Oryzias latipes: one gene and its partner. The protein of the gene in region 2 interacts with the protein of the main gene of each other region in a biochemical or structural test. Links are inferred from orthologs where the notes say so. Each region holds a gene or a part of one and is shown on either strand. Other genes may lie near its edges.

Region 1 (4,897 bases), on a different chromosome or scaffold from region 2:
TTGGAAATAAGGAGCCCACTGATCACATTACAAGATTTACATGTCTCTCAGCAGAAGCAAGCTGGACTGATTTTGTCATGCAAAGAGCTTGTTAATGGGTCTGCAGGGTTTCAAGGGTGCAGAAGTCGTTCAATGGATTGTATGGATGCATCCTTGTTTCAGGTGTGTTTGGGGGATTTGGTAGAGCCTCACCATCGCAGGACTTTGAGGTGAAGTTATACTTAAACCCCGGCGGACATTGACACTCGTACATGCCAGGCGTGTTGACGCATTTGGCTGGCTCTTCACAGATACTTCGATACAACAAACATTCGTTGATGTCTGAAACACAAGGGACACAATGTATGTACAAACGGGCCTCTGTTAGGACTGCAAATATGAAGCTATTTTGTGGAAAAAGGCACATCAGACATAAGTAAACAGTTTACGAAGACCTGTAGTATCAGAACAGATTCAAACCAGAAAAACAATTAAATTGAATGCAAAAAATACAAGTAGATGCACTTATAGCTTCATTTAAATACCAAATACCTAAAATCTGTGATAACTCAAGCCTTGAAATATGAAAAAATGACAAATGACTAGCATCTTCCTCAAACTAACAGAGTGCATGTTTTTGAAGACTTTGTACTGAACTCTAAAAGACAAACAAAGATCTACCCACACAAAGTAGGACGCACGAGAATACAGACACGGATCCAACAGACAAACAGCTACAAATGATAGAAATTAACTTTTAATGAAAAAAAAAAGAGAAATTGTCAACTTTCTGTTGTCATACGAGTAATCTCAGGTCAAATTTTAGGTTTGCTGGAGGTCAGCAGCTGAGGGGACAGAGGCTGTGTTTTGGAGCGTGCAGTGATCGGAGTATGTTTTCTCAGCTGTGGAGCAAAACTGAATCATCCGGACAGAAATATCTGTCACGAGTCTTTGAAACGCAGTTTCAAAGGTCTTCAGTTTTGCTCCACAGCTGAGAAAATTAAGTTATCTGAGCCCTCAATGAGGGACTGAATTTATTACACCACTCCATGCCATCTTACCCACACAGTTGATTTTATCATTCAGGAAGTAGCCTTCATCGCACATGCAGTAGAAACTTCCGGGGATGTTGTTGCATTTGTGTTTGCATCCAGCTGGAAAATCTGGATCGGAACATTCGTCAATGTCTGCAAAGTCAACGCAAAAGCAGGTCAGGCACTCCTGCCAGGATATCATATACAGAAGAGGATTAGGGCCTTGGAGAGAAAAAAGAACATAAAGGGCAAAAATAATTCTAACTTTTTAATTTTAATTTTAAATCCTAATTTTTTCTCAAAAAGTTTAAATTCTGAAGAAAATTGGAATTCTGTGATTAAAGTAAAAATTCTAAAACTTAATTCAGAATTCTTAGATTAAAGTTATATTTCTGAGATTAAATTCAGAATTGTGAAATTAAAGTTACAATTGTGAGAAAAAATTCAGAATTCTTTTTGGCCCTTTTTTTTTTCCTCTATTGCACGAATCCCTTTCCATACATATAGAATCTCATTTTGACAACATTAAAAAGGCAACACAATTTACCATATTCACAGAGCCGCCCCTTCCAGCCCGGTTTACACACGCATGTGAAGGAAGCCTGGCCGTCAACACAGCCCTCTGAACCCTCCTTGTAGCATGGAAACGGGGTGCACTGGTTACTGATTTCTGGTTAGAAACAGGAAATTAAACGGGTTGAAGAGGAAGCATCACATCAGCAAACCAGCATGATTTTTGGTTCAGATTCTGCCCCTCACCCTTAACACAGGTGCGAAGGTTTGATGGGATGTCTGACCCCGAGTTCCCATTGCTGATGCCAACTCGGTGGGAACCCAGACACACTAGAAGATAAGGTCCAGTTTGATGAGTTTATGGAGAAGATACATCATCAAATCTGGTAGAACTTGCCAACATACCAACATATTTGGGGTAGAAGTATTCCTAAAAGAAAGAACAGCAGACTATAATCAATCCTCTGGAGCACTGATTCAGCTTGAAGGTTTTTGTAAACTAGGTTTTCACCGTCTCAGGCTGGTTCTCAAAGATCTCCCTGGCCTCCTCCTTGTTGCATAGCTCCTCTATGCACTCCCTTTCCAAGTTGCCCGCCTTGGTCTCCTCAAACCCAGAGTTGGCCCTCCTGTGCCTCCTTAGGAACTGCGAGGCTGTGTTTTGGCTCAGGACTGGGATGCACATGCAGATACTTTCTTACTTCACATTACTGTTGTGCAAACTTTTTTTGAAAACAATTTGAAATGTGAAGACTCGTCTCGATGGTATGGAGTTATTGTGCATTTGTAAAACATTTAGTGTGCATTTGTGAAACACAATCTGTGTGTTTGTGAAACACAGGGTGTGTATTTCCGAATTTATTTTTCACGTTTGCATAAAATGACATTTGTGAATCGGAGCGTGTGCATTTGTAAAACCGGTTGTGTGCATTTCTGATTATTGAGACTGAATTAACTCCATACGATGGTGGTGCTTTCATGCCACCAGCCTAATTGCTCTCAGATGAATTGGCCTGAACAGAGCTCATTGCGAAACCGTTATTTCCCAGAAGTTAACCCCCGGTTTGTTACTAAAGCACCTCATCTTGCTTTGATTCACGCCGTAACAAGGCGGCCAAATCCTCCCAAGTGACCTCATTTGAGACCTGATAGGGCCTTAATCATTTCATCCAACTGTGACAGCTGTTTTCGCAAACTTTTAGAATCCCAAACATACTTACATCGATGAGCATCGGCGAACGTCACAAGCAACACGAAAAATGCCAAAGCTCTACCCAGAATCCTACGTGGTACGGGCATTGCTGAGCCGTTCCTAATTTATATCTGCTGGAAGACTGGCTGAGTCTAGGTCCGATGTAGGAAAAACCAAAACAAACTTTTCTGTTTTTTTCCCCCGAAACTGTTTTCGCAGGAGGGGAAGAACCGGGACTGAAGGCGGCTAGAGAGCGCTGCTGACACACTCTTCTGGCTTTTGTTTACTCAGCGAGGCTGAACTCATGCAGAAAATGGGTTTATCAAATACAATACAGCACAGGAGGACCATGGAAAATCTACATGCCCCATTCGTTAAAAATGAATTGCTGCAGAAATCACTGTTATAAGACATTTAGAAGTCAACTTAGCTAAAAGTATTGAAATGGAAATGATAAAACTCAAAATGTGGTTTGACTACAATAAACTATCTTTGAATCTAACAAAAACAAAGTTTATGGTGTTTGGTAATAAAGAAAAAACAAGTGATTTTGTCCATTGACTACATAAACATAGAACAGGTGTCTGAATTTAAATTTTTGGGGGTTATGTTTGATGACAAATTAACATGGAAATCTCACATATTTAATGTAAAAAATAAAGTAGCCAAGAGCCTTTTTGTTTTGAACAAATCCAAATTTATTTACCCTGTCATTTTATGCACATGTTGCGTTGCTCTTTAGTTTTACCTTATTTTACATATTGTATTGAAGAGTGGGGAAATACTTATGAAACTAATATAATGCTCTTAATTCTATTACAAAAGAGAGCTATTCGAATTATTCACAAAGCTAAATTTAGAGATCACACAAATGAACTTTTCATTAAGTCAGGTTTATTAAAACTTAAAGATGTAATCAAATTGCAGACCTTATTAGTTATGTTTAAAGCCAGAAACATAGATTTACCTGAAGACTTAGAAAAGCTTTTTATTTTGACCACAGGAGATGAAAATCATAGGAGAAAATTTGATCTCAAACAACAGATTGCTCGAACAACACTAAAGCAAAAGTGTTTGTCTATGGCAGGGGTAAAAATGTGGAACTCCCAGGAGAATCAGTTAAAAAGTTGTCAAAATATTATTCAATTTAAACGGATTTATAAAGCAAAACAAATTAGTTTGTACAAACTTGATTGTTGAATGGAATGTTTGGAATGTATCTGCTAAATGAATGGAAAGTAATTACTGTGTTCATTTGAACTGTATATGGTAAAATCTGAGCACAGGTGATGGTGTGAGTAATGTAAATATGATGCAATGTTTAAAAGGGAGCAGACAATTATACGAATTGTATTCTTCAATTCTGCTCCAATCTAATCATAAAAATGTTCAATATTGTAAGACAAACATGTAAACATATTGGACAATCAATAATTTTCATGAAAGGAACAAATAAATGAATGAATGAATGAAATGAATGAATGAAGTTGTAATATAAACGTTAAGTGAAGTGAGCACAGCATCATGTAAATAAATGTTATTTTTTAATTCAAGGTCCGTATTTATTGTATGTGTGAGGCAAACGCATGAGGGCATTTTAATGTAGCAGTTAATCTGAGAAAAAAAATATTTATTTTGGTGGGATGAGGAGTGACATGATGCCCCAGTTTAATTATGAATGAAATTAACACAAAAATGGACTTTCCTTAATTTACTTAGTGGAAACTGAAATCAAAAAGCACAAAACAACTCCTCCAAATTAGACTGAGAAATATGACACTTTATCTATATTTAATTTTTTTCTTGTGCAGCTTTAAAATTCTGTAAACCTTTCTGCAAAGAAGACTACCATCTTTCTTTTTATGTATTGTATTTTCTGTTTTGTGCTGAGTATTTAAATCAGTAAATATAACAACTGCTGTAAAAATAGTAGTGCATGAAGGTTAGAACATATGGCAAGTAAGGGCCCCCATGCAGATCTGATCCCTTCACTGAAAAAATATATAGTCTATCGTTAAAGCTAGATTACTCAATTTAAACAAATTTACTTTGAGAAGACTAATAAAAGTTCAGTTTGGCTTATGAAATTGGGTGCTGGAAAGAAAAAGTAAACCCTGCTGATAAAAAATAAAACTAAAAAAATAAAGAAGAAATTTTGTGGCCTTATTAAAAGCTCTGACAG
Region 2 (4,940 bases):
AAGAAAACTTATGTCACAACAGAAACAGTCTGGGACAGAGTATCAAAACAAAGAAATTCCTCACGGAAAAAGAGCTTCTGGAATAATGTGTTGATTTGGCAAGAAGCTGGGAGTGGATGGGGGAGGGGTGTTCTGTACATGTTTGTGTACAATACTTGTACTCATGACAGATAATGTTCTGTGAGGCTGGCGAAACCTAGCCTTTTAAATGTACTACCCTCCTTGATTTGCTATCTACTGTTTGGATGAAAGTTATTTTTACCCTCTGACTGACTAAGCACATCTGATCTGACTCATGTTCAATCTGCTTCAGCAAATCAACAGCAAACAGTACACATGGTCAGAAAACAGGCGGGGTTGTGGCTCTTGAGGGTCAGAGTAGATCAGTTACGGATTAAAACATTTTATTTAAAGGTCTTCTTTCTGTCATTTGAGTGGATGTCCAAATCCTGCTAGGAAGAGGAAGCTACAAAGTACTTATTTAAAAAGAAGACTTTGTGCAGACAGTAGCAGCTAAATAGTCATAAAGTCTAAAAATGTTTTGCAAAAATAAACTGTTCCAGGAAAATCTCTAGCTTTAATTACAAAATACAGTCAGTGATGTTTGCACCATTGACTGTACTGTATGTGAGAGATGGACGAAGTGAGTGTGATGTCACCCATAGAAAATAGCTCAGTTCTGGTTTCAACAAAATAAAGTCAATTCGGTTGCCATTTTGGAGCCAAACGTTGTCAGTAAGCAGTGATTTCTCTGAGTCTGTATTAGTCATCGTTTCATGGCAACCACTCTTGCCAACCAGGAGTGAGCTAGTTGGAAGTCCACACGCCTACCACTCAAAGCAGGCTTGTGAGAATTTGTTAATCAAATGTTTTGAACATATGACCTGAGACCACATACTTTGATTGAGGCATTTGATTGGTCATTTTAAAACTTGAATAACTTGAACTACAGAAAAAAAACATGAAAAAAATTTGGATTAACAAGAACATGTTAAAAAAAAGGAGTCAGAGCAAGAATGACTATTCTGACAAATAGTAATAGCTGTTTATTTGTCTATAAAAAGTCTATGAGATCATTGCTTCTTGGAACCTGCGGGTACTTCCTGTTTGGTCTGACGGGGGGGATGGGTTACTCAGTCCATTTCTCTATACTGTCAATAGTTCACACTGATCAACTTCTTATTTTTCCTCTCTGTCCAAGATAAGTCCTTAATCCTGGCTTAACCATTTTCTGTGTTTTATGAAATGCCCCTATGGTAAGGACATGATGATTTTTTATTAAATCCAGAAAGTATGCGACCCGTACCTGGAAATATTTAGAAATACATGAAACCAAAGAACCAAAAAACAACAACAATGTCTTATTATTCTTATTTCAATGATCCCATGGTTCAATTATCTTTCTTTCTGTCAAATAAAGTCCCATTGCATTTAGAAGACAATCGACTAATCACATCTCATCAATGAAATAAAAACAAAGGTTTATAAACAATTACTCTACAAAAATCCAATATTTATTTACGTTTTTATTTAATTAAGGAGCCCTCAACTTCCAAAATCCATGAGTCACTCCTTACATACTGAGATAAATATTTTCAAAGGCTTAGCAATCCTTCCTGTTGGACTTCAGAACTTTTTGCTTTGGTGCCTTGTCTGTCCTAGTTAATCTTTTAGAGAAAGACAAACAAAGTTGTTTGCTGTAAAACGAGGAACATCATGAGTATACACACACCATGACCCTAACAGGCCGTGCTGTAGCTGTTTTAATAGTTATGCCAGAGGAATGTGTGGCTTGATTAACCCTTGTGCTATCTTAGATGACCCCACCCTTACATTGACGTGTTCTTCCTACCATGACAAAGGTGGATAAAGGTGGAAAGATTTCATGTAATCCATGGACACCAGTGAAGATCACAAATCATTGAAGAAAAACGGTTCAGCGCACTGTCTAGTGGGTCTAGATGACCCAACTCCCAATGGTAAAGTATCCAGGATGGCACAAGGGTTAAGAGCTGCCTACCTTCAGATTGTTTCCCATAATTCACGCCATGGGAGTGGAGGCTGTATGGACCATTGGCCCTGTTTCTGAAAGTGACGACAATCGTCTCTCCCTCCTCAGCTCGCAGCGTTGGTCCAAGTAAGCCTGTGGAGGAAGTTTATTTGAAAGCAACTATCCATCATGACTTATCGGTACAACCTCAAATGGACATTCCGCCATTAATATAGTTGTTGTGGTCAAATCTACAATTGTTGATCAGCCAAAAGGAATTCTATCATCTCTTCCATAGCTTTACTTTCTCTCCTAATTCTTCCCTGATATAAATGAATATTTTTAAAATGTAGCCAATGTTAGTGGTTCTTTCTTCTTTACTATTTCACTTTGCATCAACTCAGATGCAACGTAGGGACTGGATTTGGACCCAACTGGTATTTCTTCTGAATCTGAAGCATCATTATGGTGTCAAACCAATGCTTTTTGGACCCCCTAGTACACCCAATTATTTGTTCTTTGACAAACCAATGACTATACAAGTATGTCTATATCATAATTAACCTCAAATCTGAGGTTCAAATCAATATGGCATGCATGCCAGTTATGCCAGGGTCCTATAGAACAATGCAATCAACACACAGGTATAAAATGCAAACCCCAGAAGAGGTCCTCATGCATAGACATCTCCTGTAGATATGTATACATGTTTCTTTAAGAAGGAATCCAGATAAACCGAGCTAACATCAACATCAGGGAATACTAACCTAGCCATGATGGATGAGGCTTAGCTTTTCGGAAGTCTTTGTCATACTCCCGAAAGACCACTTTTTTGTAGATGGGATTAAACCTGAGGAAGAGCACAGAAACAGATATTTGCAGAATGTACTTGTACAGACACCCCACCCCCACACAATGTGTTATCCTTTTGTGCTATCATAAAAATATTTAAGAAACAGGCTGCAAATGGCAAACAAAGCAACAAAAACAGACTGTTCAGTTTTTCCCAATCGAATTGTAACCATCGTCTGATTAAAACAATTGAAAATATTTTTTCATGAATAAATGTAAACGCAGCAGAGACGTCTTTTCGTCAAATTTAAAAAAGATATAATATTCTAGCTGAGTAGTTGAAGTAAAAGATGACATGATCTATTTCAAGGTTAACTCACCTGTTTGTGCCATTGCCGGAGTAACTCCAGTCAATTTCCTCAGCAGCAATGTAGTAGTGCCTCTCCTTCGCTTGATTCTGTTCAGCTTTGACATGTAGTGCTGACACAAGAACCAGGACTGGCAGCAGATGATGAGCTCCTGCCCAGGAACAGAGCCCCATATCTGGGAACTTTTCTGACTGAGTGTGAAGCTGCGATCTGACAAAACGCTTCACTCTCTGCTTTATCTGTGACTGCTCCACACAAACCAACACACGTGGGTTAGACAGTTGTGTCCCAGGGCAATGAACTGTGCGACTGCCTTGTTTCCCTTTTATAATTAGATAGTGTGCTTTTTTTTAATTAAATGATGAATTATGCCTTCGGGTTTGGGCAAATCTCTTAAGAAATGTGGAAATGAGTAATAAAAAAAACGTATAAATTCTTTCAACCCCATAATGTCTCTGGAGAATCAATGAGAAAAACATCCCGTAATTCAAATAGTTTGTATTTCTCAATACTTCAAGATCAATGAAGGAAGAACAAACACCAGACCTCAAAGTTTTCTCAGGTAACACACATATTTAATGCATCCATGCATCCATCTATCCATCTCCTGAACACAGTGAAGTTGCTGCAGTTCTGATGTTGGAGATCAACACCAAGACTAATGTTGAAGATGAGGCAGTTAAAGTCCCACTCTGATAATCTTTAGACATATTGTTAAAGCATTCCCAGAGGTCTTTTAATTATGATTATGACGTTTTTAGCCAAAATCAAAAAACCTGTGTCGATTTCTAGGAGATACTTTCTGCGGAGCAGCAGGAGATTATCAGAAATGTGTGGGCGGTGATTGGGACTGTTGGCCTGGAGTAAGCTTTCCCTTTTTTCCCATCATGATTTGTTTACACTTTCTCCTGCTAGCTTATAATAATAACAATAAATTAATAATAATGAATGTTATTTGTACAGCGCTTTAAATGGCACACAAAAATGTTGTACAACACGTGAGTAAAACACAGTCAATAAAAACAAGAGCTAATACAATTAAACTAAAAACATAAAAATGACAGATTTAAGATTAAAAGTAATTTTTAAAAAGATTAGTTTTTAGTGATTTTTTAAACACTGGGTGTTGGGGCAGTGTTCAAGCGGGTTGGGGCAGCGATTGGCTCTGTCTCCACAGGTTTAATGTTAGGTCCAACAGTGGAGGGACGAAAGGTTTGCATCAGAGGAGCACAGGTGTATAGTTTTGAGCCAATGAGGAAAATGAAGACGAACATGGAGCTAGTCGTCTACAAGTAGATGCATCCAAATGCTGTGGATCAAGGAGCTTGTGGCCTGCTGATCTTAGCACCTATGTCACTGCTACAGGCTTATTCAAACAGCATTTTTTTTGTCTTCTCCTGATTCACAATGATTTGAATAAAGAAATATGCTGAAATGCAATTTAATCATAATTTTCTTTACCACTTTTCTGAGTATTTTTTTTTTATTCAAGTTGAGATGAATCAGGAGCAGACGAGAAAATGCTGTTTGAAAATACTCTTTTTCGTGACTCAGCAAGTGAAATGGGCAGGCCAAAGTCTCCCTGCTCCGCTCCATTCTGATGCATCCACTTGCAGACAAATTAGATACATTAACATCTTAATTTTCCTCATCTAAGCTGGCATCTGGCTCAAAACTGTACAACTGGATAACTCCAATATTGTTCACCATTTTTGTTGCACCACTAATGTTTGATTGGGATTGTGAGGCGGTGTAAGCAAGTGGGAGAGATAGTATAATAGACAAAGGGA

What was found. The genes of interacting proteins can lie anywhere in the genome.
Region 1: the proteins of venom prothrombin activator oscutarin-C non-catalytic subunit (region 2) and pros1 form a complex in vitro, tested with the Homo sapiens proteins (2 studies listed by BioGRID). The link is inferred for Oryzias latipes from reciprocal best matches to the Homo sapiens genes F5 and PROS1.

Annotation. Positions count from the first base shown.
Region 1 is NC_019861.2:16,511,547-16,516,443, forward strand, and holds the start of pros1 (vitamin K-dependent protein S), read right to left. Parts: upstream 2,996-4,897; 5' UTR 2,823-2,995; coding exon 2,744-2,822; intron 2,196-2,743; coding exon 2,038-2,195; intron 1,957-2,037; coding exon 1,932-1,956; intron 1,857-1,931; coding exon 1,773-1,856; intron 1,684-1,772; coding exon 1,561-1,683; intron 1,167-1,560; coding exon 1,041-1,166; intron 322-1,040; coding exon 193-321; intron 1-192. UniProt on the Homo sapiens protein: Anticoagulant plasma protein; it is a cofactor to activated protein C in the degradation of coagulation factors Va and VIIIa. It helps to prevent coagulation and stimulating fibrinolysis.
Region 2 is NC_019879.2:11,789,777-11,794,716, forward strand, and holds the start of venom prothrombin activator oscutarin-C non-catalytic subunit, read right to left. Parts: upstream 3,375-4,940; 5' UTR 3,324-3,374; coding exon 3,163-3,323; intron 2,841-3,162; coding exon 2,758-2,840; intron 2,144-2,757; coding exon 2,021-2,143; intron 1-2,020. UniProt on the Homo sapiens protein: Central regulator of hemostasis. It serves as a critical cofactor for the prothrombinase activity of factor Xa that results in the activation of prothrombin to thrombin.